Bombyx mori: one gene and its partners. The protein of the gene in region 2 interacts with the protein of the main gene of each other region in a pairwise test. Links are inferred from orthologs where the notes say so. Each region holds a gene or a part of one and is shown on either strand. Other genes may lie near its edges.

What was found.
Region 1: the proteins of RNA-binding protein FXR1 (region 2) and Ago2 interact in binary tests that used the Drosophila melanogaster proteins (3 or more experiments, as listed by UniProt). The link is inferred for Bombyx mori from reciprocal best matches to the Drosophila melanogaster genes Fmr1 and AGO2.
Region 3: the proteins of RNA-binding protein FXR1 (region 2) and DEAD box polypeptide 5 interact in binary tests that used the Drosophila melanogaster proteins (3 or more experiments, as listed by UniProt). The link is inferred for Bombyx mori from reciprocal best matches to the Drosophila melanogaster genes Fmr1 and Rm62.

What each region holds. Positions count from the first base shown.
Region 1 is NC_085118.1:6,268,050-6,278,091, reverse strand, and holds the end of Ago2 (argonaute 2), read left to right. Parts: intron 1-737; coding exon 738-866; intron 867-1,387; coding exon 1,388-1,497; intron 1,498-2,042; coding exon 2,043-2,139; intron 2,140-2,757; coding exon 2,758-2,960; intron 2,961-4,453; coding exon 4,454-4,550; 3' UTR 4,551-5,930; downstream 5,931-10,042. UniProt on the Drosophila melanogaster protein: Essential for RNA interference (RNAi); double-stranded RNA induces potent and specific gene silencing.
Region 2 is NC_085112.1:15,604,777-15,615,592, forward strand, and holds the start of RNA-binding protein FXR1, read right to left. Parts: upstream 5,228-10,816; 5' UTR 5,110-5,227; coding exon 5,059-5,109; intron 4,691-5,058; coding exon 4,638-4,690; intron 4,541-4,637; coding exon 4,387-4,540; intron 3,881-4,386; coding exon 3,717-3,880; intron 1,966-3,716; coding exon 1,798-1,965; intron 1-1,797. Other genes in the region: uncharacterized protein LOC119630931, read right to left, coding at 6,206-8,364, 8,452-8,520, 9,218-9,310, 9,416-9,508, 9,767-9,987, 10,426-10,523. UniProt on the Drosophila melanogaster protein: Polyribosome-associated RNA-binding protein that plays a role in neuronal development and synaptic plasticity through the regulation of protein synthesis of mRNAs.
Region 3 is NC_085117.1:13,612,591-13,623,194, reverse strand, and holds DEAD box polypeptide 5, read right to left. Parts: upstream 6,585-10,604; 5' UTR 6,369-6,584; coding exon 6,367-6,368; exon of another isoform or gene 6,078-6,366; coding exon of another isoform or gene 5,986-6,077; coding exon 4,966-5,985; intron 4,787-4,965; coding exon 4,548-4,786; intron 4,454-4,547; coding exon of another isoform or gene 4,374-4,453; exon of another isoform or gene 4,079-4,373; intron 3,890-4,078; coding exon 3,711-3,889; intron 3,655-3,710; exon of another isoform or gene 3,517-3,654; intron 3,328-3,516; coding exon 3,148-3,327; 3' UTR 2,779-3,147; downstream 1-2,778. Other genes in the region: uncharacterized protein LOC101736496, read right to left, coding at 1-534, 1,463-1,515; histone deacetylase HDAC1, read left to right, coding at 9,317-9,365, 9,733-9,845, 9,921-10,038. UniProt on the Drosophila melanogaster protein: As an RNA helicase, unwinds RNA and alters RNA structures through ATP binding and hydrolysis. Involved in multiple cellular processes, including pre-mRNA splicing, alternative splicing, rRNA processing and miRNA processing, as well as transcription regulation.

The DNA of each region.
Region 1 (10,042 bases), on a different chromosome or scaffold from region 2:
ACCAGGTGTTGATTATATGTGTCGAATTCAACGCAACAGAGCTCTGGGACTAGCGTTATTCTTGCAATTTTGCACATAACATACAAAAAGATGCTCACTAACTACCCTATATTTTTTAAATTATATTTTTTCTGCTTAGATCGATGGACGCGATCATGGCCCACTTGACATGAAGTGGTTATCGGAGCCCATAGACATCAATAACCTAAATGCCGCTGCCTACTTTGAGACATCAGTTCGAAGTCTCAGATTTATTGTACAACAGCTGCCTCACTCTTAAAACCGAAACGCATTAATGCTTCACGACAGAAATAGGCAGGGTGATGGCACCTACCCGTGCGGGCTCACAAGATGCCCTACCATTAGTGTCTGTATATAATGTTTTTTTGGCCATTTTGGTAACCTCGGCAGATATTAGTGGTGGAGATTACTGCCGTCCATGGAAATTGGCAATGTCAAGGGCTTATGCTTATCTTGGGACTTCATAATTCTTGTTCTTAACTCATTTTTCCTTGTAAATCCTTCCTTCACCAGTTATCACCAGATAGAAACAGTCTGGAAATCGTAATTGATTCACATGGTAAAAAGTGATTTGGACTAACTACACAGCACAACAGACTCCTTCCTTATTCCCTTGAAGAGCTTGTAGAATACGCAGAGGAGAGATCCAAATTAAACACGCGTCATCATCTGTTTATTAATCAAAGCTATAAAATCAAATCGTTGTTACGTTACAGAAAGAGATGATCGTTCAGTTTGAGGACATAATGGTGGATCATTTCCATGCTTTCAAGAAAAGTCAGGGGATTCTGCCGAAGAAGGTGTTCGTGTTCCGTGACGGGGTTTCTGAGGGTCAATTTGCTGAGGTGCGTGTTACGATGTAATATGACGTCCATTACTGCTTATTACTTTATTTTATTAGTGCCATATTAGATTCGCCGGGCGATTAGGTGAGCTCACCGGGTTCTTACTTGGTGACGTTGCTAACACTAGCCCTAGTAAGAACAGTGCTACGCAGAATTTACCACCGGATTGGAAACTCGACCCACTGATATATTTTAAATTTTTTTTTTTGTTGCTTAGAGGTTGGACGAGCTCACAGCCGACCTGGTGTTAAGTGGTTACTGGAGCCCATAGACATCTACGACGTAAATGCGCCATCCATCTTAAGATGTCTAATATCTAATGTCTCAGTATAGTTACAGCGGCTGCCCCACCCTTCAAACCGAAACGCATTACTGCTTCACGGCAGAAATAGGCAGGGCGGTGGTACCTACCCGTGCGGATACACAAGAGGTCCTACCACCACTATCTCTGTTTCATTTATAACAATAAATATATAGAATTTAAGATATTTGTTTGTACATTATTATTGTTTATGAATCAGGTAATGAAGAGTGAACTGACTGGATTGCATCGCGCCTACCAACGTGTCGCGGGATTGAACGCTAAACCAGAAGTATTGTTCATTCTTGTACAAAAACGTCATCACACGAGGTTCGTTGGTTTTTTCTTTGCTTTGAGTTTTGTAGGCAGCGGCTTGGCTGTGCTCTTGGTATTGCTGACGTCCATGGGCGACGGTAACTACTCATCATCCGGACCATATGCTCGTCTGCCTACAAGGGCATTAAAAACAAGAAAGTAGATCATAGTGAGTTGACACGAATTTAGACACTGAAAAAAGGTTAAAGAAATATAGTCGAATTAGGAATTTAATAAAATAATATGTGTAAATAAACAGCACTAAAAGGGTTAATTGCTGTTAAAAATATATATATTTTGTAGATTGATTCTAAACTTCAGATAAAATCAACGAATGAATAGTGATTTGAATTCAGTAATATACTTTATTAACTGTGTTTTAGAAATTTTTTGCAATTTGGGTCTGGTTGCCTTTCTCTATTCTATTACTAATACTATTACTATACTATAATTATCTGATAGTAACATTGGGAACATAAGTCTTGGTAGTAAATTCATATAATTTCGAAATACGTACTTATTAGCTCCTCAAGAAATTCTTTACTATTTATTTGTTTTAGATTCTTCCTGCCCGGGAACAACGCCCGTTTCAACGTCGATCCGGGGACTGTGGTCGACCGTGATATAGTACATCCACGTGAATTGGACTTCTATTTGGTAAGTATAGAGTATAACGATATACATTATATATTTAACAAGTGAAATCCGGTCAAGTCACGTTGAATCTACTCGTGAGCCGCCTGTCGTGCGTTGATGGTACTATGTCAGAAACTGAAGCCCTGTACCAAATTTCATTACAATCGAAAATAAGTTCACGCGATTTAAACTCTTCAGTGTGTTGTTTTGAAGTCGTCGTGGCCTAAACGATAAGACATCCGGTGCATACGTTACTAGCGATGTACCGGTGTTCGAATCCCGCAGGCGGGTACCAATTTTTTATAATTTAATAATGAAATACGTACTTAACAAATGTTCACGATTGACTTCTACGGCGAAGGAATAACATCGTGTATAATAAAAATCAAATCCGCAAAATTATAATTTGCGTAATTACTGGTGGTAGGATCTCTTGTGAGTCCGCACGGGTAGGTACCACCGCCCTCTCTGTTTCTGCCGTGAAGCAGTAATGTGTATTGGTTTGAAGCTTGGGGCAACCGCTATAACTATACTGAGACCTTAGAACTCATATCTCAAGGTGGGTGGCTGGGCCGTGATCTCGTTCACACACTTAAGCAATAAAAAAAATTAAAATTATAATCGAAATCGCATTTGTAGGTGTCTCACCAAGCGATCAAGGGCACGGCTCGTCCGACGCGCTACCACGCCGTCTGCAACGACGGCAGGATCCCGGAGAACGAAGTGGAGCACCTCGCGTACTACCTGTGCCATCTGTACGCGCGTTGTATGCGCGCCGTGTCATACCCCGCGCCGACCTACTACGCGCACTTGGCCTGTCTGCGGGCTCGCTCGCTCACCTAGTAACTATCTTTGTTTTACTTGCCATAACCCAGCCCGTACCGTCAGCAAAAAACAGCTAGGCGCAAGTCATCCTTGAAACGACCTAACCCAGCCTGTACCGATAGTAAAAAACAGCTAGCCAATAGTCATCTTTGAGACGCCAGTTTACTTGTATTAACCCAACTCGCACTGACAGCAAATAGCAGCTAGGCCCTTGTCATCCTTAAGGCGATAGCTATGATTTAAAAATATATTATATATGCGTCTCGGGACGCCTAAGTTGAACTATATAATGATGAAATTGTTTGACTTGAGAAAAACTCAGGTTATTACTTAAATTTTATGTATTATTAATAATTGAGTCGACTATTATCAAAGGCGGCAATCTGACTTTTGGATTGGTAAATCAGAAAAACGAATTATTGACTTTGTATTCCATTGGCAGTCACAAAACTCTTCGGAACGACATCTTAGATAAATAACAGGTTAACTATTAACCTTTATTTAATGCAGGTTTTGAACCGTATTTTTTGAAGGAGACGATTATATTCAAATAAATCTGTATTGACATATCAATAAATTTTTTTTGTCCAAATGTACAGATTGCCACCTTTGATAATAGACGACTCAATTATGGTAATGCAAGGAAAATTGTAACATAAATTGAAAGAGATATATAAATAGCTAGGAGTTGTATACGTTCTCACCGGTCACCGTCCTCGTCGAACCCGTCGCTTGCGACGAAGGGCTCGACGAGCGAACTAACCCATAGACACAGCCCACTGAGTTTCTCGCCGGATCTTCTCAGTGGGTCGCGTTTCCGATCCGGTGGTGGATTCTGCGAAGCACTGCTCTTGCTAGGGTCAGTGTTAGCAACTCTCCGGTTGAGCCCCGCGAGCTCACCTACGAACGTTAGGGTGAAGCTGAAATAGCCTCTCAAGGCTATCAGCATAAGTAGGAAAAAAAAACGTTCTCAGTACCGCTGCTGTATGCATGAGAGAAGGAGAAGCCAGACAGGCGTCGTAACGCGTTACGTAACGAAGTGGTTTACCCACCCATAAGAAGTTAATTTATTAAGTTACGCCCAGTGGCTTGCAATTGGAGAGGCCTATGTCCAATGGACTGCTATAGGCTAATGATGAAGAAGTTATCACTTCAAAACTTGGTAACCGTTTTTTGTTTTGCCTTATCTAGACCGGAATTTTGTCGTAATCTGCGCGAGCTCACGCTAATCACGCTAATCACTACATAGTATAAAACAAAGTCGCCTTCTCTGTCCATATATCCCTATGTATGCTTAAATCTTTAAAACTACGCAACGGATTTTGATGCGGCATTTTTTTTAATAGATAGAGTGGTTGAAGAGAAAGGTTTATATGTATGATAACATCCATTAAATAGTGCAGAAATCAATAATAAATTACAGTTTTCGAAGCGAAGCGAGGGCGGGTCGCTAGTCACTAATAAATGTTACCTCGTTGAATGAATGTGTTAACATTTTTGTTTATTTCAGTGGCGAGATATTCAATAATAACGATCTCGAGAAGAATCCCAAACGTCTCCGGGTCCTCGACAGCATGCTGAAACAGAGCCGTATGTTCTTCGTCTAACAAGATGATATTTTAAAAATGTATATGTAATCACTATTTAATAAAACACGTATAACAACGAATGACTTCATTCGTAATCTTATTATATTAATATCAATAACCATGCCTTTTGCAATGAAAATTATAAACACGTCTCTTACCCTATAAATATGATTGTTTCATGACAGAAATTAGATAGCTTTTTGTGTAAAATCAAGATTTTTTTAATGAAAATATAAAACGTATGATTTTTTTAAGGAAAACTTCTTTGAGTTAATGAAAAATTTAAAAACTAATGTTCTTTGTACCGAGTTAATCCGGTAGGTTTCGCTCGCACAAAATACAGAAGATAAACCAAAGAAGTTTCACTTCTTAGTTTTACAGATTTGCATGTGAGACTCAAATAGCCTCAAGCGCTTTTTAGATCGCGGTTGTCATGTAAAAACCATAATATATTGTATCTCGACATCGGAGGTATAAACTCTGATATAAATTGTTTCATCTGTACAAATTGAGTGACTTAAATTATAATTGGTCCAGGATAAGATGTCCGAGTTTGGTTAAGACCCTACACCATCATCATATTCTCAAATAATATGATATGGTGTTGTTTTGCGGAGTATATATTGTTTACTCTTGCGCTAGGATTCGTTTTATCAGGTTCTGATGCTTTGACACGCATTTATTCGTCTGAAGTCGAGATGTTACTGCTTATTTGCATCTGCTTTTACTGGTGGTAGGACTTCTTGTGAGTCCGTGCGGGTAGGTACCACCGCCCTGCCTATTTCTGCCGTGAAGCAGTAATGCGTTTCGGTTTGAAGGGTTGGGCAGCCGTTGTAACTATACTGAGATCTTAAAACTTATATCTCAAGGTGTGTGGCGCATTTACGTTGTAGATGTCTATGGGTTCCAGTAACCACTTAACAGGTCGGCTGTGAGCTCGTCCAACCATCTAAGCGATAAAAAAACTGCTTGCCGAAGTGTGAATTATCTCATAACCGTGTATCGGATATAATAAACATACAATGTCATATGGAAAGACGGTTATAACTATTTGAAATTGATCAGAGGGAAAGATAGAGATATGAATGACAAATTATTATTATCATACTATATTTAAAAATCATATATGTATGAAATATTTGGTATCTGAAAAATAATATGATCGTATCGTTTATTTAAAATTTACAACCGCCTATCTTTATTATTAACGTGTTTTAAAATTATTTTTTTTTTCAAGCCTTTTCTTTGTTTGTGCTAACTATTTTTGTATTGATTTTATTAGGATATTATTGGATTGTGTTATTTGAAAAGTTAAAATCAAATCTAGTGTGAACTTAAACTAAAAACGTAATCTTATCAATATAATGTATTTTATTTCAATAAAGTGTCCAGTAGAAATGTGAAGTGTTTTATTTCAATTCCTTAAATGCTCTGGCCTGCTACTTCTCTGATCATGTATAGATAATTCGAGAGAACGAAAAGATGTATGTCTTCCATTTTGTTTTAAATTGTTCAGATATTACGACCAATAAAAGATCAAGCTTATTGTAGAATACTTAATTACTCGTAAGTAAATAAAGTCATCCGCCCTCAATTTAGGATTCCGCGTGTTATGGGTACCAGAGACTAACAAACATTCTTACATAATATATACGTTAAAATATCTATATATTAATACGTGAAGGAAAAACTTTGTATCCCTTTTTACGAAAATTGCGTGGACGGAGGAGTATGAAATTTCCCAAACTTATCTATACTAATATTATAAAGAGGAAAGATTTGTTTGTTTGTTTGTATTGAATAGGCTCCGAAACTACTGAACCGATTTAAAAATTTCTTTCACTGTTGGAAAGCTATGCTATCCCCGGGTGACAGGCTATATTTATTACATTTTCAAAAAAAATTGGGAGCCTTACTGAAACTCCTTCGGAGGAGTAAGGAGGAAACTCCAGTAATCCTTAATGTAACCCAATGTGTAAAAAAATTACCTAAAATTCTTTACATCGCGTGCGCTACTTCCTAAGCGAGGCCGGGGCGGGCCGCTAGTAAAGAATAAAGAGAAGGAATGCAGTGTTTTTTTTTTTTAAATTATGCCTAAAAATACATTAAATCAATAAAAAAAGCATTACACACACTACCATGTATTTGACGCACACATGCATGCATACTATTTACTGTTAAACTTTTGTTCTTGACGTCTGTGGTCAAATTGAGAATAGATTAAAAATATTGTTTGTCTTTATTAATATTATTCTATAGTGTAGTCTTGGCGAAATTTGTGATTATAGAAGTATAATAGTCTTTGAAAATACAATCATAATAGTGTACAAACCACGGAATAGATAAATAAGGTGTATGAACATTTTTATTGCCTTTTTGCATGTGTGAGTGTGTATGCCTACGGGTGTTTTGTGCTAGTTTGCGAACGAATATCTGTCCTGAGATTTATGTGTGGGTGTTTTTGTTGTGTGCGAAATACTTGTAATCACAGTATGTGTATGTGTAGAAATTAAAATAGTGGGGATGAAGCGGCGACACTGGTTCTAATACAAAATTAGAGCAAAGGCCTTTCCAACCTTATTTATCTATTCCGTGGTACAAACTTACAATTTCAATTAATTATAGTCGAATTTCACTGAGAAGACCCGGCGAGAAACTTAGGTGGTTGTGTCTATGGGTTAGTTTAGTCGCCGCACCATTACTGAAATCCTCCTGCAATTTAATATATTCTAACGATTCAATGCACAGGATCGGGTATGTAGTTTCTGGCGACCACGACAAGAGGGTTTTCGTGCCGCGCCGTTTTCTCGAAATGGGTGAATTGGATTAAGTATATGATACCTATCGCTGGATGACTATATTTGGATTTATATTTTTTATTTCTGCAAGTACAGTGTAGTCAATAATCTATACTAGTCAATTACTATACTATTAGTCAAGATTACGACTTCTTCCCGATGTCTACAGGATCCATTACTGCTTTAACGTCAGTGGGGCCGTGAGATTGTCCATCAAAACCAAGAACTAAATAAATGAAGTGAAATATAGTATATCATTTTAGTTTTGTAGTAAGTCCAGTTTGAAAAGTGTTTAATGCACATACAACCTTGCAAAAAAAATTAATGTTGTTACCATTATTTTGTTTGAGTTGTATACAATTTAATTTTTTTTTTAATAACCGTTATGTAAATTACGAAAGTTATATTTATCAATAGTCTTGAACTTGATCATGGACTCAATTTTAACGGTTATTCGCTTAGCTATAGGCTATTGCTTACGTGAGTCGTAACACGATCGCTGCGTTACGCAAACTAGTTACCAAAAGCCTTAATACTTGAATTCGAACGCTTTAGTAAAACAGAATATTGAATTCTTAGTTGCTATATTGTTTTGCAGAACTTATGGCTACGTATTATGCATTTAGGTTAAAGGAGACAGTTCCGCGTATCAATAACCAAGTAGGAAACAAAGGGATCTTTGGCAGTGAAGCTTAGAATAAAACCAGTTATAAATACGGTATAAGTAGTTAGTTATAAATACGGTATAAGTAGTTAAGTGTTTTTATGTATTTTATAAGTAGTTAAGTATTTTTATAAGTGTTTTTATCACGATTTTTATATTTAATGAGTTCCCGATATTGCTGGATACACTGGGACTGAATTTGTAGTGTTTTTAATGTATATAGTCACACAGCCCCATCTCTTCGCATGAGTTCGTATAAGGCGACAAAGGCATACATCAGAGAATGGGTGAAAGAGTTATCTTAGTATTCTACCAGTGTACTTTGATCATCACTGCTATTGACTGGTGGCAGGGCGTGTTGCAAGCCCGGTCGAATAGTGACGGCCGCCATCCTGAATATGATTTCGGCGAAGCCGTTGCGTTTCGGTTTGAGAGGTGGGGCAGCCGTTGTACTATAAAAATTGAGACTCAGAACTCAGGACTCAGACCGCTGTCGATATCTTTTGGCTTCGGTAACCATTTAATACTAGATAGACCGTGAGTTCGTCCATCAATTTAAGCAATAAATTTTATTCTATTTACTAATTATGTATTAAAATCGATGGCACTATGGCATGATTTTATCCATTTTATATTTATTACCAGTCGTAATGAATATTCAGTTGAAATTTCATCGTAGTAATATATTAACAAGGAAATCCGCTTTTTAGTATCTACTTAAATTACAAGAATTAAGACTGCGCTATGAACGAACGTAAATTTAATAATATAATATGTTCAGAACTTTTTGGATGTGATTCTCATTTCATTTCGTAATTGTTTTGTAGTGCTAAACGTTGTCGCTTTCCTAGGAAAACAAACGAGTAGATTTTTATCAATATCTCGTAGTGACGACGCTACGAAGTCGGAATTTAAAATTTATTTGACTTAATTTGTCTATTTATTATAAATTAAGTTTACTTTCAGATTGGAGCTATTTAAATGACTTCCTCATAACCGGATTGTTATAAAATAATTAATTAATATAATTCACATTTTTTAACAACTTATAGTGCGTTTTATTATTTATTTATAATTCATTGCCTTTAATTAAGATTGTACAACATTAGAATTAAGTTCCTTTTTAGGGTTCTCAAAAATTTGAAACTATAATCTTATTTTGTTATTATAGTTGCTTTCAATTCGTCTTTACGATTATTACGAGGTAATCAGCGTGTCATGTTCTGTACTGAAGAAATTTGCGTTCGCCAGCGTTGTTCTTTCCGAGTTCTGTCTAAGCAGGAATCATACCTCTTTTTCTTTTTTGACGTGACAACGTCTTATAATTCGATGGAACCGGCTGCACGCACGAAAAAACATGACTCATGCGGCATTACCTCGCTCTGAGGCGTTCCATTTAAGGCTTGAAGTGCAAGCGAGAGCGCGCAACGAGCGACAAAGAGGCACAATCGGCTCCGCGTTCGGCAGCGTTCGACATCTGTCTCTTTTCTACTTGAGTGAGCGATGCATCCGCGTGGACAGCTGCTATACAATAATACATTTACATGTTTTCGTCAAGTATGAAGTTCAGTGAAAAGTGAATGTGGTGTCAATTGTTTATAGCAACGATAATTGCGATAATTGAAAAATGAAACCATTCCATCAGTATTTTCTTATGACGTTGTCACGTTCAACTATCGTCAGTAAACCGACTTTACAGACTACTGTTTTTTTCCTACCTAAGCTTATAGCCTTGAGAGGCTATTTCTGCGTAACCTTAACTAGTAGGTGAGCTTATGGGGCTCAAACCTGACGACGTTGCTAACACGGACCCTAGCAAGAGCCGTGCTTCGCAGAATCTACCACCGGATCGGAAACGCGACCCACTGAGAAGATCCGGGGAGAAACTCAGTGGGCTGTGTCTGTGAGTTAATTTACTCGTCGAGCCTTTCGTCGCAAGCGCCGGGTTCGACGAGGACGATGACCGGGGAATCGTACTGTTCGGCTGGAAAAGCGTTGTTGGGTTTGTTTCGTGGTCCCACACCCCACAGCCCCAACACGTGCGATGC
Region 2 (10,816 bases):
CAGTCAGAATTTACGGTGCATTAAATTGTCTAATTTCCTTTTTGGTCCTAGGATTAATCCTTTTGGTCCTAGTCACTTTATGTATGTATCTACTGATTTACAATATTTTTTGTAATTTATAACTTCTTATATATGGAAGAAAGCAATACCTGTTTTTACAGATTAGTGTGTAACAGCATTCCATGACTATTTCAATCAAGAACATTGTGTAGCAGCTGTTACGGTCTACTTCAATTAGAAATTGTTAGATTTTGTTTTTGTAAGCGAAATGAATTTATCTGTTTATTCAAAACGTGGTAAATGCGATCAAAGATTTGAAACAATTCCCAATGAGCCGCCATCTTTGAGCAGTTGGATAAAATTCACATGACTTAGAGGAATGTGAAGAAAAAAGAAAGAAAAAGAAATATGCTACATCTATCAGCACATGCCTAGTTCCGAACCTGCGAACTATTGCGTGAAAAGTGAAAGGTATCGCTTCCACAACGCGCAATACATGTCCCACAATAAACTTTATTACTACTGCAATCAATTAAAACAAGACACGAGACACTAAATCTTAATATAAAATTTGGCAAGTACATGTATTTTTTTTTACAATTAGTTATGTGTCATATTCGGCTTCTAAGGATTGTACTAGTCGGTGTTTAATTACGAACATTGCCAATGTGAGGTTACAAGCTAACCTATTCCTATTGTAGATTTTAAGTCTCTTTATTATTTGGATATCCCGTTTATTTGGTTGTTGTGATGATCGTGACCTGATATGGAGTAGGTGGCCATATAGTTCAAACACATGAATATCAAGTGAAGTAACTAACCAATGTATGGTCAATATTTCTCAGCATTATCCCTATCCTTCAATAAGTCGGAGGAGGCTATGCATGGCCGGATAGATAATTCTGATGGTATATGTGGGTATCGCGAATTACGTTTAGAGATGTTAATATTTAAGATATTACCTATACATTGCTGAATAATTTAAACTGTTAGTATTACCAGTAACTGCCCTGTTGACTGATATCATTTCTATTATCTTACAGCTTGGTTGCAGATCTAGATTTGCTAATGGCCCTGAAGTATGGTGGTTACTCCCCATCAAGTACCTCAGCGGTCTCGAATAAAAAGAAATTTCAATCAAATAGTCAGATCGCTCAAGTACCCCAAATAGAGTTTATACAAAGTGCTCATCTATCGGCTAGGCTATAATTTCGACAGGCGGGAGAAACATCTTTTTTTATCTTACATAGACAAGTACAGTTGATCACAGTGGACGCCATGTTATAGAGCGACTGCGGTCCATAGATTTTATAACACAAATATCACATGTAGTGATTGATAATAATAGTATCCATTTTCTTGCTTTAATCCTATATTACGTGACATCGTCGGAGCATGTCCTTTTATCGTGTGGCATGAGTTTTAAGACCGTCCACACTAATAAAGCTAGTAATGCTAGCATTTATAATTGAATATGAAATTTCGAAAAGGGCACATGTCGCATATTTTGTCAAATAGGTTTTTTCATATACATGTAGTTTTGAGGCTTACCTACACCCATTTTATAATAATTCCAGTAATTTTCAATTGCCAATTAACACTAAAATATGTCTCTAAAGTTAATATTTTAAATTTTACACTGCTTTAGAAAATAATCACTTTTTTTCATTTCCTGAACATTTTATATATTCAGAGATGTGCCCTTTTCGAAATAGCATATTCAACTGTAGTGTAGTGTAGTGTAGTGTAGTGGGGTGGGGTGGGGTGGGGTGGGGTGGGGTGGGGGTGTGGAGGTACCGGAAGTGCATCTCCTGCAGCATGGTGGCGCGGCGCTGCGAGGAGGCGCAGCGGGAGAGCACGGCGAGCACGGCGCGCTCGGGCACGTACCAGACGAGCGCGGCGCCGATCGCCTTCTGGAACTCCTTGTGCGCGTTCTCCACCTTCGCGCTGTGGATGTCGTGGAGGCTGCACACGTACACCATATAGTTACTGCCGACCCAACCTCAACATCAGCCATGCTTGTGTCCGACTAATTATTCACTCTTCCATTCAAAATCATTTTGATCTTACATATTATAGCACTCATGGTTAGGTAAAAATGAAAGTGTGAACCCCCAAAACAATTCCTCCCTGAAGTGTTCCATGCTATACAAGATATTAACAGAGCTAAAGTTTCTCCTTTACCTCAGAACTTCCACAAAGTATGAAACCTAGTCAAAATGATGTGAATATCTAAATAAAATTTAAATGGAAATACTAACTATGTAATGCTATCCTATGGGAGCTGTACCCCAAGCAAGCACAAATTTGTAGTATATTTTATAGTTGTAACAAGGCTGAGAGGTTTTTGAAGTTTTTCTTTAAGTGACCACCGTATTCAATATAATAAATTCAGTTGGTTTATTTACCAATGGTTTTATTTATTAAAATACTGCTTGACTTGACCCTTTAATTAATTTTGAATATTTAACAAATTTCAATTAATTTTTTTCCCCAAACAATTATTTCCTGTAGTATGGTATATGGTGAACCAGACTGATATATTAAAAAGACATCAAAATTTATAAACAATTAAATATATGACAATAAACCATTCAGACATAGCAAATAAACATGTTTCTCATTTAAAAAAAAGGTTTGTCCAAACAGAATCAACCCACCAGCCAGCATTTAGCGATGTTAACTAAAAAGTTATTTTAAGTTGTAATAGACAAAAAATTACAAGTAATTCATATCCTCTTTGCCCACACTGTTGAATTTAACACCTGTATCCCAAAAATATCATAAGCTCAGTTTTAGTCAACATATTGATCTTTATATTCCTATTCAATTTTAAAGTTAGGTATATTTTAGTATTTATGAAGTTATCAGACTATTTATTAATGCAACAAATTTTTTTCAGGTACTAAATTTTGTTTTCTTAAAATTTTGACCAATATATAAATGGAATAATAATTCAATTTATCTTTTCTAGTATGAATGCAGATTATGTCATACTTTAGGAGTTGGAACCTTTACAGGAGGGTTGAATTTAATTTAAGACTCAATAGATTCATAAATAGTTCACAGACTGAATACATTACACATATTCTTTAACTTTCTTATTGCTATGTTGGGCAGATCAGCTTACAGCTAACTACTAACATTACTAGTATCAATGTATCCATTCTACCTTAACAACTCAAGTCTAAATAGCATTGATATAAAAACTCCCCTACCTACAGATATGAATAATATGAATATGAACATTTCAAAACAGATACTGAATTCTTGTACCTACCCCTTCACAATCTCCCTTCTACCAACTAATGATACTTCTAATATGTTTGTTTGTGGTCCCTAGTGAACAACTACGTATTTTTACTTTAGCAAAAGAGATGATATCAACAATGTTAGATGTGTAAGAGTTATATGTAATAATAATTACTCCATATGCTTTATTAGTGGTCATGTTTGGTTAAAAATGTATATGAAATATTTATTACATTAGTAAATATTACAGGAGAGTAGCTATCTTAAGATTTTCTATTATCCCATTAGCTACCAATTTGTAAGAGACCACTTGACAGCTGCATGGGACTTCAATAACACTAGCATACATTATACCCACTTTTATAATAGCATGATGGAGACATTATTCCAACTGGGAAGTGATTGTTATTCAATATGATGCATGTTTTTTTTTTATAAATATTATAATTCAAATTATAACTCACTAGTCCTTCAGTTCATCAGGTACTGTTATTTCAAACTTGTGAAATGTGTTTTTGTCTATTGGGGTCTTCGGTAATTTTACCCTAAGACGATCTTTAGGCACAATTTCCGTATAACAGTTATCCCATTCTAGATATTCTATCACAAGGAAATCACCCCTCATCATCTGCAAAAAATATTGACATTTTATTGGCATATATGATTCTTAATTCCACATTCTACATAAAACTATTATAGAAACAAAAACAAAAATATAGTCTAGACATTATTATGCAATGTGATGAATTTAACATAGCAAGATTTGCTGTATTTGATATTGTATACAGGCAGTATTTCTGGATTAATACTTCAAAGGACTCTAAATTGAAGTAACCAAATGTTTAATTCGCTTTTAATAAATTAAATTAAAAAAAATTTTAATAAAATTTGTTGAAGTTAAATTGCAACAAATCTTAGTATATTTTTGAAATAAAACCAAACAGACTAAGTTAAATTGGGGCAAGTTTTCAAAAATTTTTAACAAAAAAGCAAAAAGGAGGGTAGAAATTAGGGTTTAAAATAGAAAATCATGTACAAGTAAACAAGATGAAGGGTAGTTTCGAAAACATTTGTTCTAGAATAAAATTCTATCATATTTTGATTTGTTTAATATATGTGTGTGTAATTCAATACCTTGATATTTGCAGTCCACCACCCACACGCTTCTTTCTCATTAGACCTAGCAAATACTTCCACCTCCTGGTTCTCAGTAAATTCTGTGTGTTTGCCAGTGTCTTTAGGTGGTAAGAAAACTTGAGAAAACGGAAACTTTGATTCTGGCTGCCAGCTAAAAATTTAATCAAACGTAGTCAATAAATTTACAAAAAATAAGACAGTTTATACACTAGTATATAAATTTACATACTAAATATAAATAAACTCACTCATTTTCAAAGGCTACTAGAACCTCGTTGTCGAGCACGTCGGTGACAATGGCCTAAAAATAAAGAATTTTTGGAACATTTTAAAGCCACAGCAACTTGGTGATGCGCTGCGGATGTGATAACTAGGTCATTTACGCGAAAATACGCTAATGTTAAATCACCACATGAGGAGCAGACATCCATTTACTGCACGATATTTTCTAAAAATACTACAAGCATAAAAATTATTACAACACATGGAAAAATCACGCCCTGTCAGACGGACATGGCGTCTATTCCAGCAGAGATCTTCCCGGAAAAATATTTTTGTAAGTATAAGACATATCACTGCCCTGGTCATCGGCTACGATTGATTGATCTGTAAACTAATTAGAGGGACGCGTGTTTACTCAAATTTTAGCGTACTTCACGGTTTACAAACCTTATAATAAGCACCATTTTCACCGTACACCTCGACCGACAAATCCTCCATTTTGGTTTGAAAGCGTATTTGGCGTTTTCCGAACGAGAACGAATATTCGCAGCGGTTCACTGACCAATCGCTTTAGAGAATTCAAGCATAGACTATGATAGATTTATTTTTAAAAGCACTGCCTTTCACTGTGAAATAAGTTTACAATATGAATCATTGATACGTTTTGAATTTGGAATTCCCCTGTGAAATCTAGTGTCTAATCTGTTACCTATTCACTTTTTAAACAAAGAAATACAGAGGACCATTTCATTTCTGAATTGATATTTCATAGAAATCAAATGTATAGCTTAACGCCACCATACAGTGTAAACTCAGCTAATTCCGAGTAAAACTATTGATTCCGATCATAAACAATTAAGTTCACCCCAGATTCTGCATTAAATTTTATTTACCAAGTTTCTTATTTGAATTTACTGCTTGTTCATTTAATTTTGCCAAAGAGTATATAATCACTACGTTATAAGAGTCCGCACTTCATAGTAAACGTTACAAAATGAAAATGTATGGGATCAGATCCGATCTGGTGACAACATTAAAACAACCACAGACTACAAAAATCCTACCACTGTCAAAAATAGTGATGGGCATTAATATCGATGTCCAATAAATAATGATGCGAATATTATCGATATTTTTGTCGATATCGAATGCAGGCAAGGATTGCATATTGAAATAAAAACTTTATTATTTTAAAAGAAATAAAACAATGTTTTATTACTTAGTATAATTTTAATGAAATTTGTAAGTAGAATTTTAACGCTTACAAAAAATTTTAAGTTTGTATCGGAAATGTTTAATTTTTATTTTACAATATAAACCAATATTTACTTAATTTTATGCAAGGTACAATAAGTATACATGTAGAGGTTTTCAACCTTGTTTTATAATGTTATAACGAACTAGGTTTTGAAAATTTTTGTGCTAAATAAAAAACAATTCGTTTCTATTTCCATTTGAAGAGTAAATTTTTAAAAACTTCTATTTTATAATAGTAAAAAAATAAAGTTCTAAATCTCTAAATGTATACTTTTTTTGAACTCAAACCCGAAGTTAACTTCTTTCTACAAAAAACAAATAAAAACTAATTATGTAATTATCTTGAAACACCATATTGTTGACCCCTTTTGTTCGCGTCCGCCAAATCCTCTTCCTTTGAAACTTGCTTTAAATTAATTATCTGGCACTGTCGCCGAATCAGCATTAGAGCCAATTTTGTAAACAATAAGTCTGACATTTGTTGACGATGATTAATGCATAGCCACTCTGTATTACAATTTGAATAAAATATAGTAATTGTCCACTGGCAAATATTGTTATTATGTAGGTTAGGGATACAAAACTGTTCAAAATTTGTAACCGCAGTGTGTACAGTTTGACACAACTGCAATGATGGATATGTCAAACATTTCTTATCTTGCCACCACTCCCTTAATTTAATTAAATCATAAATCTTATTTTCCTCTGGATCTGCAACTGTCAAAGTTTCTCTACAGACCTGGCAATCATTTTTTTTTAGAATAACAGAAGCTAGATATCCACTTATATAGACCACTGGTTGATTTGAAATTTTTGCTAGGTCACATACTATTTCTTTATATTCTTCTTCTTCAGGTATACTGAGAACCGGGTTGTCTTCCTCATTTTCATTTTCTGTGGAAACATGACTAGGAGACTCATTAATATCTTGACCTTGATCATCTTCGTCTTTAAACCCAAAAACTAAATCATGAAAATCCGTCATGAGTTCCTTTTTGTCTTCTTCACAATTGGAGTTTTTGCTGTGAGGGGCGGTAAGTCCTGATATTATAGAGGTTTTCATAGCTGCTATAAATGTAGAACACGTCGGATGCTTGTTTGTTTGACCATGCTGTCTTATTAACCCAAATAAATTTTCTAATGCATCCTGGTTTAACTGCCGTAGATTCAAATACTTATATCCTAAATCCTGAACTTCCAGCCAAATATCACGCAGCGATTTTAATGATATAATGTAGCCTTGAACACACTTTACATTTTTTGCTTCCACGCCATTATGGTTGAAAAATGTTAAAGTAGACAGTTGCTTTCTATATTCTGTCCAAACAGCTAAATGGTCAGTTTTAGCAGATACGTTTTCCCGTATACCTTTTTTTACGTCAGCATGTCCTGATGGCCCATTTGTATAATCAAAAAGTTTATTGAATTTTTCAATTAACAAAGCAGTCTGTAATATTTCATCTGATCGGTGTACATTTTCCACATTCGTAGCTAATAATTTAAGAACAGCAGCCACTGTTTGGCTAAATATTTGTGCGGCATACTTAACTTTCATTTTAGCTCTGTACTTTGGTTGTACATGAGTTGATTTGAGTTTGCTAAGATATAAAAAATTTCTATTTCGTTCCTCTACCTCAACTAAATGGCTCCATTGACCTTTCAATTCTCCCATTTTCAGAAATCCTTGTTTTAAAAAGTTATTTCTCAGTGATTTTAATAAATGTGGAATATCATAAATTATATAAATTTTTTTATTTTCAAATTCAAAATAATTATGTCCACCATTGTTCCACTCCTTTAACAGACTTAATGCTCCCATATTGGTGGGCGCTTGATCACATATTGTTGATAAAACTTGAAATCCCGAGTTAGTAATTTCTTTAATTATATCTTTTATTAAAACTGCTAATTTTTCTGAAGATACTGTGCCTCTTATGAAATAGAATGCCAGCGGTTGTTTAATTTTTCTCCCAATACCTTGTAACATGAAGACTAAGGCATGATTTGCTAGCTCATCTTTCCTCTCATATCCATAATCGATAAACCCTTCCACTTTATCTGTGGCTTCGCTATAAGTTAACCTTTCTTTTAACGCTATTTCATCAAAGACTAGCGAACATAATTTTGCTCTTATTTTTTTAATGGGAGCTAGTTTTTTCAGGTGGTCAAGTACAGCTGTATTTAAACCTGGCTCAACAGGTATTTTTTTCATTAATTTTTGCAATGTTTTGATACTCGGAAATGGTGCGAGATATCGCAGATATCGGTAAGCTTTTGGTGAACGCTTGAAGATGGCTAATGCTGATATTTTATTTTTAATAGTCCAGCGTTTGCCTTGTGACTTACGCTTTTGATTTATCAACGCAGACGTGACAATTTCTTTTAGAAACTCTGACGATAAATTGTCTATTAGTTTCGCGCTCTTTTTTAATGATGCCAATGTGCACTTTGTTTTTCTCAATTCACTTAAGAGCTTCCTTTTCCGTGGTGTAACATCTAAAACAAAAAAATTACATTAATACTTATTGACCAATCGTTAAAAGTGGTGCTATAAGTAGATGGAGTTAATAATACAAAACTCACCAACATCTTCTAATTTTCTTTTTCTTATTTGACTTTCACTTTCTTTCCGCTGGCTTCCTTTGGTGACGTCTGTAAAAATATATGAAGTACAATAGAATTAGTATGTATTATAATCTTATTATATTTTATTTATTTATAAGGGAAACCAACAGTACAATACAAATAAACAATATTAAAAAAAATAGCTAAAACAATAACTAAACATGTTGTATCACTACATAGTTAAAACAAAGTCGCTTTCTCTGTCCCTATATCTATCTGTCTGTCCTTATGTATGCTTAAATCTTTAAAACTACGCAACGGATTTTGATGCGGTTTTTTTTAATAGATAGAGTGATTGAAGAGGAAAGTTTATATGTATAATAACATCCATTAAATAGTGGAGAAATCAATAATTAATGACAGTTTCCTAAGCGAAGCGAGGGCGGGTCGCTAGTTGTTAAATAAACACAACCAGAACCATACGCTGAAAAAATTATATTCATTTATTTAAACTAGACTTTCGGCTGTGGCTTCTCCCGCATGGGATTCGGTTATATCGCATGTCCCTGTACTATCACTTGATAATAGTATTTTGTGTCCTTTCTCTGTCTACAAATTGTCTGTGCCAAATTTCATCAAAATGGGTTCAGTGGCTTAGACGTGAAAGTGTAATAGACAGACAAGTTACTTTCGCATTTATAATATTAGTAGGAATTTTGAACTATTTTTACAGATCTTCGTTACAACTAAAATTTAGAATTGCTTTCATGAAATCGATTCTTACTTTTCTCTAGACTGCTAGACTGACTTGAGGATGTTGGCATTGAAGTACAAGGAACAGCCTGAACCTCAAACTGGCCTTGTGGGGTGACATCAGCTGAAAATTAAATTAATTATTTTAAATTATTACACATGTCTATTAAGATTAAAATTTAGTATTTCTTTTCTTGCTGATATAAATTTAAACAATCCTGATTCTCACTTTTCTCTAGACCGCTAGGCTGACTTGAGGATGCTGGCATCAAAGCACTAGGAACGGCCTGAACCTCGAACTGGCCTTGTGGGGTGACATCCGCTGATATAAAAACATACATTTTTTAATTTACTTTGAATTATTCTACACTCAAGAGCATGTTGAATTTCAAAGTGTGGTCTAGATATAAATGGACTTAGAAACTATCTTTGGTCCATGCAGTAGACATATGTGCGAGAAGTGAGCATTTTAGGTACCAACTGAGCTAACACAAATTTTTACATAGTATAAATTTTTATACACAAAAAAAATTTCAATCCTGTAAAAAATGTACAAAATGGAAAATATGTACCCAATTACCTTGCGAGTTGAGTTGCAAAAATTGAAGAAGAATTTCATCTCTCAATGGTGGCAGTGTCAAGTTCAGTTTGGGTACAGCTCGTTTTTTTAAGCGCTTCTTTGATTTTGTAAAGTCTCGTCTTGAGAAATGTGCTTCACAAACATGTTTTAAATCATGTAGCATATGTACTTGAAGATAAGCCAGATCTTCTTTGCCAACCATCTTTACCCATTGTTTACATCTAAAATTCAAAATGAGCGTTAGTTTTACTACTAAATTAAAATAGGTCTTGTTATAAACTAAAATATATACATTTTTCAAATTTAAGTATCTATTATTTACTGAAGTATTTTTTAATAGCTGTGCCCACAATACCTTGCATACTTTTATCCCCTATTTCTTATTGTTATTTTACCCCCTCGAGGGTGAAGATTTAAAAACTTAAAATTACATTATTATTTACATATATCTGACTAGAAGCAAAAAAATCAATCATCATCAAAAAGTTTCAAGGTTCTAGATTAAAAAATTACGAATTTCCATACAAACTTTGTCATATTTATTTATATCTAATCAACAGCCTAAATAATAAGTTTCAAGATTCTAAAAATGACGATACTTCCATACCCCTTTCAACCCATCTACTAAAGAAATTCAAATAAGGAGTTCACTTACTCACCTATTGACATCCAGAGGAAACCTTGCGAAAAACCGTTTTTCAGTAAGATGTCTTTCTTTGATACCACAAACTTCACAAGTACGATGAGTATCAGGCATGTTAAAAAGTTTGCAAAAGGCGCAAAAAATTTAAACAACACAGGAGTCAGTTTCTCAACAACAATAACTTACAATTTACAAACAAAAACAAGACCAAACAGGAGGAGTAAATTTCTTAACAGCAAATATTAAAATTAACACGAAAAAAAAAACACGTTACAAAATCATTTTGTGAACAAAGTCTTTTCTCGAAAAATATCAACGTGAACTTATAAGCGATATTAAAAAATTAAAATGCCATTTAGTTTTTTAAATAACTCAATGTGTTATTCATCAAAACCAAATGAATAAAC
Region 3 (10,604 bases), on a different chromosome or scaffold from region 2:
CGTATACCTAATTGCTCATTAAAATCCTGTGCCACCTGCTCTATTTGTCTTGCCAATTCCCTAGTTGGGGCAAGAACCAGAACAATTGGTCCTCGCCCCTTTTTTGCTTTATTTTCTTTAATATGAACAACAGCTGGTAAAAGAAAAGCCAATGTTTTTCCGGTACCTGTTTGTGCTATACCCACAAAGTTTTTACCACTCAAAGCTATTGGCCATCCCTGTGACTGTATCACAGTTGGTTTTGTGATACCTTGCATCTTCAGAAATGTTTTTATATATTCAGGAAATCCACTGGCTTCTATGTCAACAAAAGGACTGGGTATATCTTGACCAATAACAGTAATGCTATTATCACTTCTGTAATCATCATCTTCCTTTTTCTGCTCAGTTTTTACAGAATAAAATCTTAAGATTTGTAGCTCTCGTAGTTTTGTACCTTTTAATATTTGATTGTGCAATATAGAATATTGAACCTTGGGAATAATGTGAGTGTGAAATACATTTGTTTCTACTATTTGTTGTTTGTAAGGTAATCTGAAATAATAAATGTTCACAACATATTATTACAAGTTAGGGTTCTAGATAAAATAGTGGGCAGATTATTCTAAAAAAAATGTTTGTAAATTAACATCATTGGCTAAATTTAAAAATAGTTAGTTAGTATAGTTTTTAGTATTTTTTGGTTTGTAGTTTGTACTTGTGTTTGCTTTTCGCAAACTGTTTGTAAGCCTTCTACCAAGGACATTATTATTATATTCGTCATAATTTAATTTGAAATAGATAATTTTTATCTTTCTTCATTGCATATTATAGTCTGATCAGTTAAAAAAAGCGTATTAAAAATGATTAAGGTTAAGATGAAATTGTAAGAATTAATTATTAGTCATGATTATTTATGAGGCATCTTCATAAAAAAAGCTGTTATTTTGATTTATAATCCTATTATCCATATATAATTTTTAACCGTAGGATTTCATCAACTTCATCATCATCAACAACATATAATGATTTCATCATAAGTGCTTACAAGACTGTTGTTGTATGTAGAGAATCAGAAAAAATTAAACAAAAAATGCAGATAAAAACAAGCTTGCAAATAGTATCTACATGTTCGCAATTAGGTGGGCTTCATCGCATGTAAGTCTAATTGTTTTGTATCTAAATCTAATTTCATGATCAGCAATTCCACAGGCACAGCTTAACCAAGCCTAACACTAAATAACGCAAAACAAGATTATCATTCTTACATTTTAATTATTATGGTATATTATCATTAATTAGTTTTGTATGGTACTGTTTCAATGTTCAGAGTTTGTAAATCGCGACGCAAATTAAATTTGAAAGTACATCGGGTGCCGACTCGCATATATCTAATTTACTAATTAGTAATTTTTTCTTGACTTATAGTTATGAGGTTATGTCACATTGGGTTAGGTTAAAATAAAAAATATTTAGTACTTACAATTTGGACAACTCCTTTCGTTTTAATAACCTTGTGAGCACATTTAAAGCCATTTTCAATTTATTTTTGTTTTTAACCAGACATGCGATGAGCTATTTCAATGAAGAAGTTTAAATACGAATAGATAAAAACACATTTCCTTGCATTAATATGTATCGCAAGCGGTTGAATAGTTCTGTACTGCTATATCTTTATGGTACCTATGCTATTAAACCACTTGTATCAAATTTATAATTTTGCTTTTAGTTCATAGGTAATATGTGCGTACATTGTACACAATTTTTCTTTACTTCATTAAATTCAGACTTCGGATTCTTTTTTTTTTAGGGATTTTATGACCTGGTAACAGAGACCTTTAAGTCATGTCTTATTTTTATTTTATTCTTATTTTTATGAAAAATTATAATATGGGGTGAAATGAAATGAAATGATCAATTTGGGTCATTAATCAACTGAGATGAAACTAAATGAAAAGAGATGACGGTGGTCATTTACTGAGATTTTTTCAGTAGACTTTTTGGAGGATCCCGAGAAGCTATCTGCAGCAGTTTTATTTCATTTTCCCACATTTGTGCACTTTCACAGAATATGAAACACTTAATAAACCACCGTTATTACACATTTAAACCCGAAGAAAAACTACATAGACAAAACCGCTTTACCGCAGCAGTTCCCGAGTGCTGCACGAGCTTTTTTTAAATACCTCATTAAAAATTACATTTATGATAGTTAATGGTACTGCCATCTGCTGGAGCAACGAAAAACTAATAACACGACATCTAGTGGCTGACGCCCGTAAACAGGGTGTGCTAAGTGAAACGACATAATAGCTCGCTTTCTACCTTTCCAAGACAGAGGTTCGCGAGACGCTGTCAATTTTCTCTCCTGCTCGTACTAAATTGTATATTTTCTCTCTAGCCGTAACGAATTTGTCGCGGGATAACACCGTCCTAGTTCCACTTCATGAAAATGTGGTTTTCACATTGAAAACTCACTTGAAATTGATTTTTTAGGCCGTTTTCTGTGAATCGATTCATTAAGTTAGGTAAAATTTGGATAGACGTAAAAATTATTTTTTTAAGAAGATTAAAGGCAAGATTTGCGATCCAGCACTCAGCCCAGAAATACTTTTGACACTTGACTGCAAGAAACCCTCACTGTCCAGAAGCTATAGGGAAGTAGGTACATACCTATCTGCAGATAAAGATTATCCCCCTTTCAGTTAAGAGATGAATTTTAATCCAAAAATCTCGGAGTGCATCCAGCGTGACATCTTTGTTTTCCAAGGAAAAGGAAATAATTATAAAAGAAGTCAATTAGTATTCTTAAATTATTTATTCATACAATGTAATTATACAATGAAATGTAACAAGAGTGGAATGACGGCTTAACGCTCTAAATATTAATAAAATTCTACATGAATTTGACGACATTTATTCTACTTGGAAAATTTCAGAGTAAGAATGCACTATTTTGCAAATCTTGGGTAGAATCACAATAAAAAAATATCACAGTTTTAACATAATATAAATAGTGTTACCTATAAAATGTTGGGTCGCTAGTGGACATTACAATAAATAAATTAAACTAGCCACAACTGTAATATCCAAACAGGATCTACAAATCATAACATTTATCTATATTACGAGGATTCACCCTCTTAGAAATGCCAACAAAAATCTTATTTAATAGTCGTCAAATCGTTTGTAACCACTGCCCCCCCTTTGGCTACTCTTGCCAAAATTGCTTCCGCGTTTAAAAGAGCCGCCACCACCTCGTCCACCTCCGCCGAATCTGTTCCTGTTCCACCCGCCGCCACCACCACCGCAACGGTCGGCCATCGACTGCAGTTGTGGGCTAATAATCTAAAAACAAACAATATAAAATTGTAATCTATGCCCAGCTACAGTACAATAACATATCAAAATATAAAGTGAATGAATACTTGTTGAATCTACAAATGTTTCGACTTTGACAAAATCCTTTCCTGATATACCAAGAGAAATCTGATAAATCATGTAGAATGCAGGAAAAAATCTAGACTTTATTTAATAAAATGTCACAACATTTGAGGATGGGATTCAGGCATTTGTTTAGCATGAACACCGAAGGCATATAGCTGTATTTAATGTACCTCATACTTGCATTCATGTCACGCTATTGAAGAACGTACCCATGCCAAAGGTATGAGGAATGATTTTAATTTAATTGTATATTATTTATTTAATTGTAAAATCAAACTTCTAACCTGATTAGCTTCTTGTAGAACAGATACCAAATCTTTGGCTTGACGGGAATTTGAAGGGGTAAAGAAAGCATATGATGTTCCTTTTGATTTTGAACGTCCAGTTCTCCCAATACGATGGATGTAATCCTCCGACGAATTTGGATAATCAAAATTTATTACATATTTGATACCATCAACATCTGTAATACACAAATTAATTTTAAAGATCATAATTAATTTAATTAAGGATTTAGTTATTATCTTGAATATCTCACTTTTACTTACATGTTTGTATGAGCTACACAGATAATAACAAATATAACAATGTTGCCTCTCACTGAGAACCCTGGAGTCTAAAGAGGGCAAATCTCTAATTTTAATTTCAAATCTTTTGTTTTAATATTGCCCAAGACTCCACTGGCCGAAACAGAAAACCCTTGACCTCTTGCCGATCATCAGTCAAGTTTTTCAACAATGCACCAATCATGTTTTCTGACCTTATTTTTCAATTGAATAACGCATAGTAAGTGCATCACCAGGTTTTCAACTTTCAAGTCTATCCGCAGTTACGGACAAACCATCAAGCTTTCCGGCCTCGGGTCCAAATGTAGTGAAAGGCACTATGAGGCACCATTATAGTGACGAGTTATTGCATTCTCTACAGTTTACAACTGAATCAGTCACTCATCTACAAATCCAGTAAAGTAATTTGGCATTCAATTGCCAGTTTTCAAATAGAACACAATAACTTTCCGCCAGTGCCTCTGAAATTATAAATGAAATTATATTTATAAATTAATAATTAATTTGTATTTTTTATCATAAGAATTAAGTAATTTGATTAAAAAAATATCTCACCAAGCCCTCGAGCTGCAACATCAGTTGCTACAAGAATACTAGCACGACCTTCCTTGAACTGATACAGAACTTCATCTCTTTCTTGTTGAGTTTTATCGCCATGCATGCAAACAGCTGGCCAGCCATATCTCCTTATGTTCCTTGATATGTTCTCAGCTTTTCTCTTGGTTTCAACAAAAATTATTGTTTTCGCACCAGGTTCTTGACTTTGTCCAATTTCTTGCAATAATACATTTAATCTGAAATATAAAGCATTACATTGTCATTGCCAGATTATTCATCTTGTTTAAAGTAATAGTACTTAAACATCAGATCTTCTTAGAGGAAATTTGTTGGTCAAATCATGAAGTTATTCATTTTAACAACAAATCATCATTTTTCAAAACAATTACTAAAATTAGTTGGAAATTCTACTCACTTATTTTCTTTTTCATGTTCTTGACAAATATCTACAATTTGAAGAATGTTGTGATTTGCGGAAAGTTGTAATGATCCTATATTGATCTGAATGTAGTCTCCCAAGTAATCCTCAGCAAGTTTCTTCACTTCTTTGGGCCAAGTAGCTGACCACATCAAAGTCTGTCTGTCTGGGCGTATTTGCTCAATGATTTTTCTGATTTGTGGTTCAAATCCCATATCCAACATACGATCAGCCTCATCAAGAACTAAATATGTGCACCGCTGTAAGTTGGTTGTGCCCTTTTCCAAGAAATCAATTAATCTACCTGGAGTAGCAATGACTATTTCTACTCCCCTCTCCAAGTCCCGGGCTTGCTCTCTTTTAGGAGCACCACCAAACACACACGTGTTACGAACATAAGATGTGTGTCCAAAATCTGCAGCAACTTGCTGAATTTGTTGTGCTAACTCTCTGGTAGGCGCCAAGACCAAAGCAATCGGACCATCACCTCTCCGAATAGGCGGTTGGTTGTTTATGTGCACAATGGCTGGCAAGATGTAGGCCAACGTTTTGCCGGAACCCGTTTGGGCTACGCCAACTAAATTCTTTCCAGACATAGCTATCGGCCAGCCTTGAGCTTGAATGGGCGTCGGTTCTTTGTAACCCATTGTCTTTACACCTTGTTGCACATAATCAGGAAAATTTGCTTCTTCAAAGTATTGAATAGGATTATGAACCTCAACGCCACTTACAGTTACCTCGTGATTATTTCTGTACTCTTCGACTTCATATGGTGATCTTTTGAGAACTGTAGGATGTGGATCATAAAAGTTTTTGTTGAAAGGTTGGAGCGAAACAGAATCCCAATCTGGGCGACGCATGTTCTGACCTCCAGAGAATTCTTTTTTCCCACCAAATCCTCCAGATCCTCCAAATCTATTGCCACCGTTGCCAAATCGAGAAGAATTATCGCCGAATTTGTTGCCTCCTCCAAATTTGGAACCACCGTTTCCACGGCTATTATTCCAGTTACCAGACCTAGTGCAAAGGAAAAAATCAATACATTGCTTCGCGCTTGCGCTTAACACGCCAGAAGTAACAAAAACGTTGCCATTATTGTCAATGCGCATGCGTGAACAGCTAAAGACAAAATGGCTTCATGTAGATTTGTTAAAATGGATAAGTATGAATTAAATAAATGCCACTACACACTTTCTAAATTAAAAATCATTTCAAAACCAAAATAGGTTTTAAAAAGATCGTGACAGAGAAATAATCTTGTGATGAAAAACCGAAATTCAATTTAAACAAGACAATTCTAGCTTTCGTGGTAGATGGCCTTTTTGACCATTATTTTTGACTAAATTAATGGAAATACTCTCACATCTGAAATATACGTTTAAATAGAGTAATACTTACATGATTATTTTTCGGATTTAGTTGAAGATGTTTATTTAAACTATGGATTCTTTCTGACGCAGGGTCCACCTAAAAGGAAAAGATAAAAAATTCTGATCACAATTTGCGCTGCACCAACAAAATAGTTTCACGGAATTTGATTCACGCAGTTTCGGAATAAGGTTTTGCAGGACGAATAGAACTTAGAATATTATTCAACTGACAAATCAATAATTCGAACAAATTTACGTGAAGTGACGTCCTACCTTGACCACTGCTGCGCGATGAAAGAATGAAAGGATGAGAAGAACAGAACCAACTTCCTCCATGAATGGGATTGGGAACTGTCAAATCGATATCGAATGGAACTTGTTGTTTTAGTGTAGGGAAAAATCACAGTTTCGAAGCGAATGAACGGTCTAAGTTCGAATAATCGTGTCATCCAATAAATAATTATTACATGAATTAGTTCAGGGACAGCTAATATACAGGGTGTCCCAAAAATAATGGACAATCCTGAAACACCTCATAGTAGAGCAAATGGGGACTGAAAAAAAAAATTTTTTTTAGTTAGTCCCCAAATTAAAAATAAAGAAAAAAATACCAAATTAAGTTCAGATTAGCTTTTATAAAAAATTACACTGGCTACTCAAACGATTTCCTGCATATTTCTTAGTATAGTCCATGTAGAATATTATAACACCAAAAGCCTGTAGATTCCATTTATTTGTAGCTGTTGTATATTCCAGAAACGCACAGCAGTATGGAAAATATAAATTTCTTTTTTAAATAGTAATTTGGGTACTACCTGAGAATTTGTTATTTTATTTTTTATTTTGTGTTCCCAATAGGTTTTTCAGGATTATCCATTCTTTCTGGGACACCCTGTATACATGAGTTAGTTCGGTAAAACCAAAAGGCTCTTTAGTAACCAAATAAAAAATATACAAACTACAAAACAAATTAAAAAAATACATTTTGTAGTCAAGCTTCATTGGTAAGCACAGCTATTTGTATACTTCTTCTAAATTCTTTTCAATGCCATATTTTATTTTTCCGAATGTAAATGATTTACCTGGAATTTAAATTATTTACGAATCAATAATCTACAAGAAAATATTGCATTAACCTACTACTACTAATCATCTCTAATAAATGAAGTTCGAATTTAAAGTCCATATGTTGAAATAAATTTGATCGTCCTGTTTATCTTGACTTGGGTAAAGCAATGAAATAAATTATAGGAGAACTTTATATCAAAATGAGTAAAAATAGTAAAATGGGTATCGAGATATATTCAATTTCGAAATCACAATAGTATTTCGATTTTAAATAGCTACACATCCTTAAGTTGAATTGAAGAATGAAAATTTTTAAGGTACAAATTCCTGAAACCTTTGCTACAAGTTCACGTGAACTAATTTCAGTGTTACAATATTAATATGATTTCTAGTTCCTAAGTTTCTTCTACCTTCCAAGGTGAATTCTACCATTTCCTTGGACATAATTAGGAATGTACGTAAGGAGTATAAAATTACGCACTTGCCGTAAACTGCAGCTTCTTCAATCTTTCAATTCCCAAAGATACATTTTGTTACAATTTTATTTAAAACTAGCTGACCTGGCAGACTTCGTAGTACCTCAATCGATCAATGAAAGAAAAAAGAAATTCACCCGACCGGGGACACATCAAAGGAAAAACAAAATTGTTATTTTTATTTAATTCCGAGCATTTTCATATTTATCTACCTTTTAAACCTTCTCTGGTCTTCCACAAATAATTCAAGACCAAAATTAGTCAAATCGGTTCAGCCGTTCTCGAGTTTTAGCGAGACTAAGTTAGAACAACAATTCATTTTTATATATATAGATAAATGAATTGCTAAAAAAATGAATATATATATATATATAAAGATTCAGCTGTGGTAGTTTTTTAGAATATCGTATCCTTTATGTTGACCGTGTATTTCTAATAACATAAGAGGCAACGTGCGGAATTCTACGAATGGTTCTATTAAATTTTATATAAAAAATGCAGTAGGTAAGTTTTGTTGTGTATTGTGGTGACCACACACCATCAAGTAGACCGTATGGTTGTCAGCATAAGTATATTGCCAATAAATTCAATGATGATGATGATGATGATGATATGAAAATTTTCCCTCAGTATAGACTTTTCCACTTGGAACTTGAACTTGCTACCTTGAACAATATAGATAAATATACTTGAGACCTTAGAAAGGTGGGTGGCGCATTTACGTTGTAGATGTCTATGGGCTCCAGTAACCACTTAAGACCAAGTGGGTTGTGAGCTCGTCCACCCATCTAAGCAATAAAAAAAATGCTACTAACAATAAAAATCTATTAATATTACCATCTATTTTTTTCCCCTGCCTATTCCCTGGGAGCCAAATAGAGAGACACACAATTGAAATTTAATCAAAGAACCATTTTTCTAACAGAATTTTATAACCTTGTATTTTAAAAGTGTTTGCTCTTCTCTTAAAAAAATAAGATAATGAGGGATATTCCGTGCCTGAACTAGGTAAACATTTCGCGGAAGAGCCGCAGTTGAGGAGCTAAAGAGCAGCATGCGAGCCGCAAGCCGATCGCTGGCCTAAGGGGCTGTTCTAGCTGCCAAGTAATTCATGCTTATGATTGTAATGCTACTACCTACTGTGAACTGTGGCTTCACTTGATTTCTATATTTAATCTACTAAAAATCATTCAATTTAATCAATTCATTCATTCGTTCATTGAATATCTGTAACTTTTAGGTCAGTCAACTTCACTGTAATGAAATTGTCGTACTCTGAAGTTGCATTTTGTTCATCTTTCAATTATTTTATGAAGTTTTTTTGTGTGGATTGTCAAATTAAAGCACAGCGGTGTGGTTTTTATTTCTCTTTAACATTTTTAAGTATATTGTAATAATTTTATTAAAAAGTAACCGTTGAAGAAATAATTAAAAATGTCTATGCAACCGCACAGTAAGAAAAGAGTGTGTTACTATTATGACAGTAAGTAAAATAAAGTTTTACCCGCCACGGATCTCCATTACATCGCTAGTAACTTAAGAATTAGTTTTTGTATTATAAATAATTAATATGCGTAGTATTCATATTTTAAATACAAATTTCCACACGGCCTAGCTCTTTTAAGAACTTCAGAGATTTTAAAGCTTGTCTTAGGATTTTTATGACATTGTTAACTCAGTTCATTGTTTCATTTTACGACGTCTGTACAGCGTTCCGCGTTCCTATTGGGTACACGGACTTGCTCGTATTACGATGTACGAGGTACAGACGGCTAAATATGAAGCCGTAAAATGATTTAAGTAACATGTTAATAAAAAGTTGAAAATAATGCGTGTTATTTTTATTAAAGGCGATATTGGAAACTACTATTACGGACAAGGGCATCCAATGAAACCTCACCGCATACGTATGACCCACAATTTACTCCTCAACTATGGACTCTATCGAAAAATGGAGATTTATGTGAGTACTGAAATTACCTTTTAAGTGTAAGTTCTTCAATGATTTGAGATTTTATAATTATATATTTTTAAACAGAGGCCTCACAAAGCCACAGCTGATGAAATGACAAAATTCCATTCAGATGATTACATTAGATTCCTGCGTTCTATTCGACCTGACAATGTTTCTGAGTACAACAAACAAATGCAGAGATGTAAGTTATTACTAATTATTATCAATATTATTTAAAAAAAGTATTAATTATTCATAAATGCTTTAATGAAAATGTATTACCCTTGAAGACTTACCTGTTAAAGCTAATATAACAGTAGAGTTACTTATTTAGTGTGTTATTTTATATTAAACTATATTTTTTCAGTGTATAATATTATAATAGATTTGTCCCACAGTTTCAACTATGTTCAGCTTACAATAATGTGAATCTACTACAGTGGAATCTTACTATATTCATAATTTGTATAAAAAGATGATGAAAATAATAGATTGAATACAGCATATTTTGTGTAAAATTGTGGAAAATTCCTTTGATTCACTGCTATGACACTGAAAAAAATTCCTAAATTCAAATCTTTGACTATACCACAGCATCTAGTTGTGTCAGTCAATTGTCACACTGCTTGATAAGTATAGATATAACATACCAAAATTATAAAGAAAAAAAACTACTTTCCTGTATGAGCACTCTCCTTGTCTGCAGCCTGTTTAGTTGAAACCAATGTATCTGCTGTTTATTGCAGGAAGAAAACCTTTATAATGTAC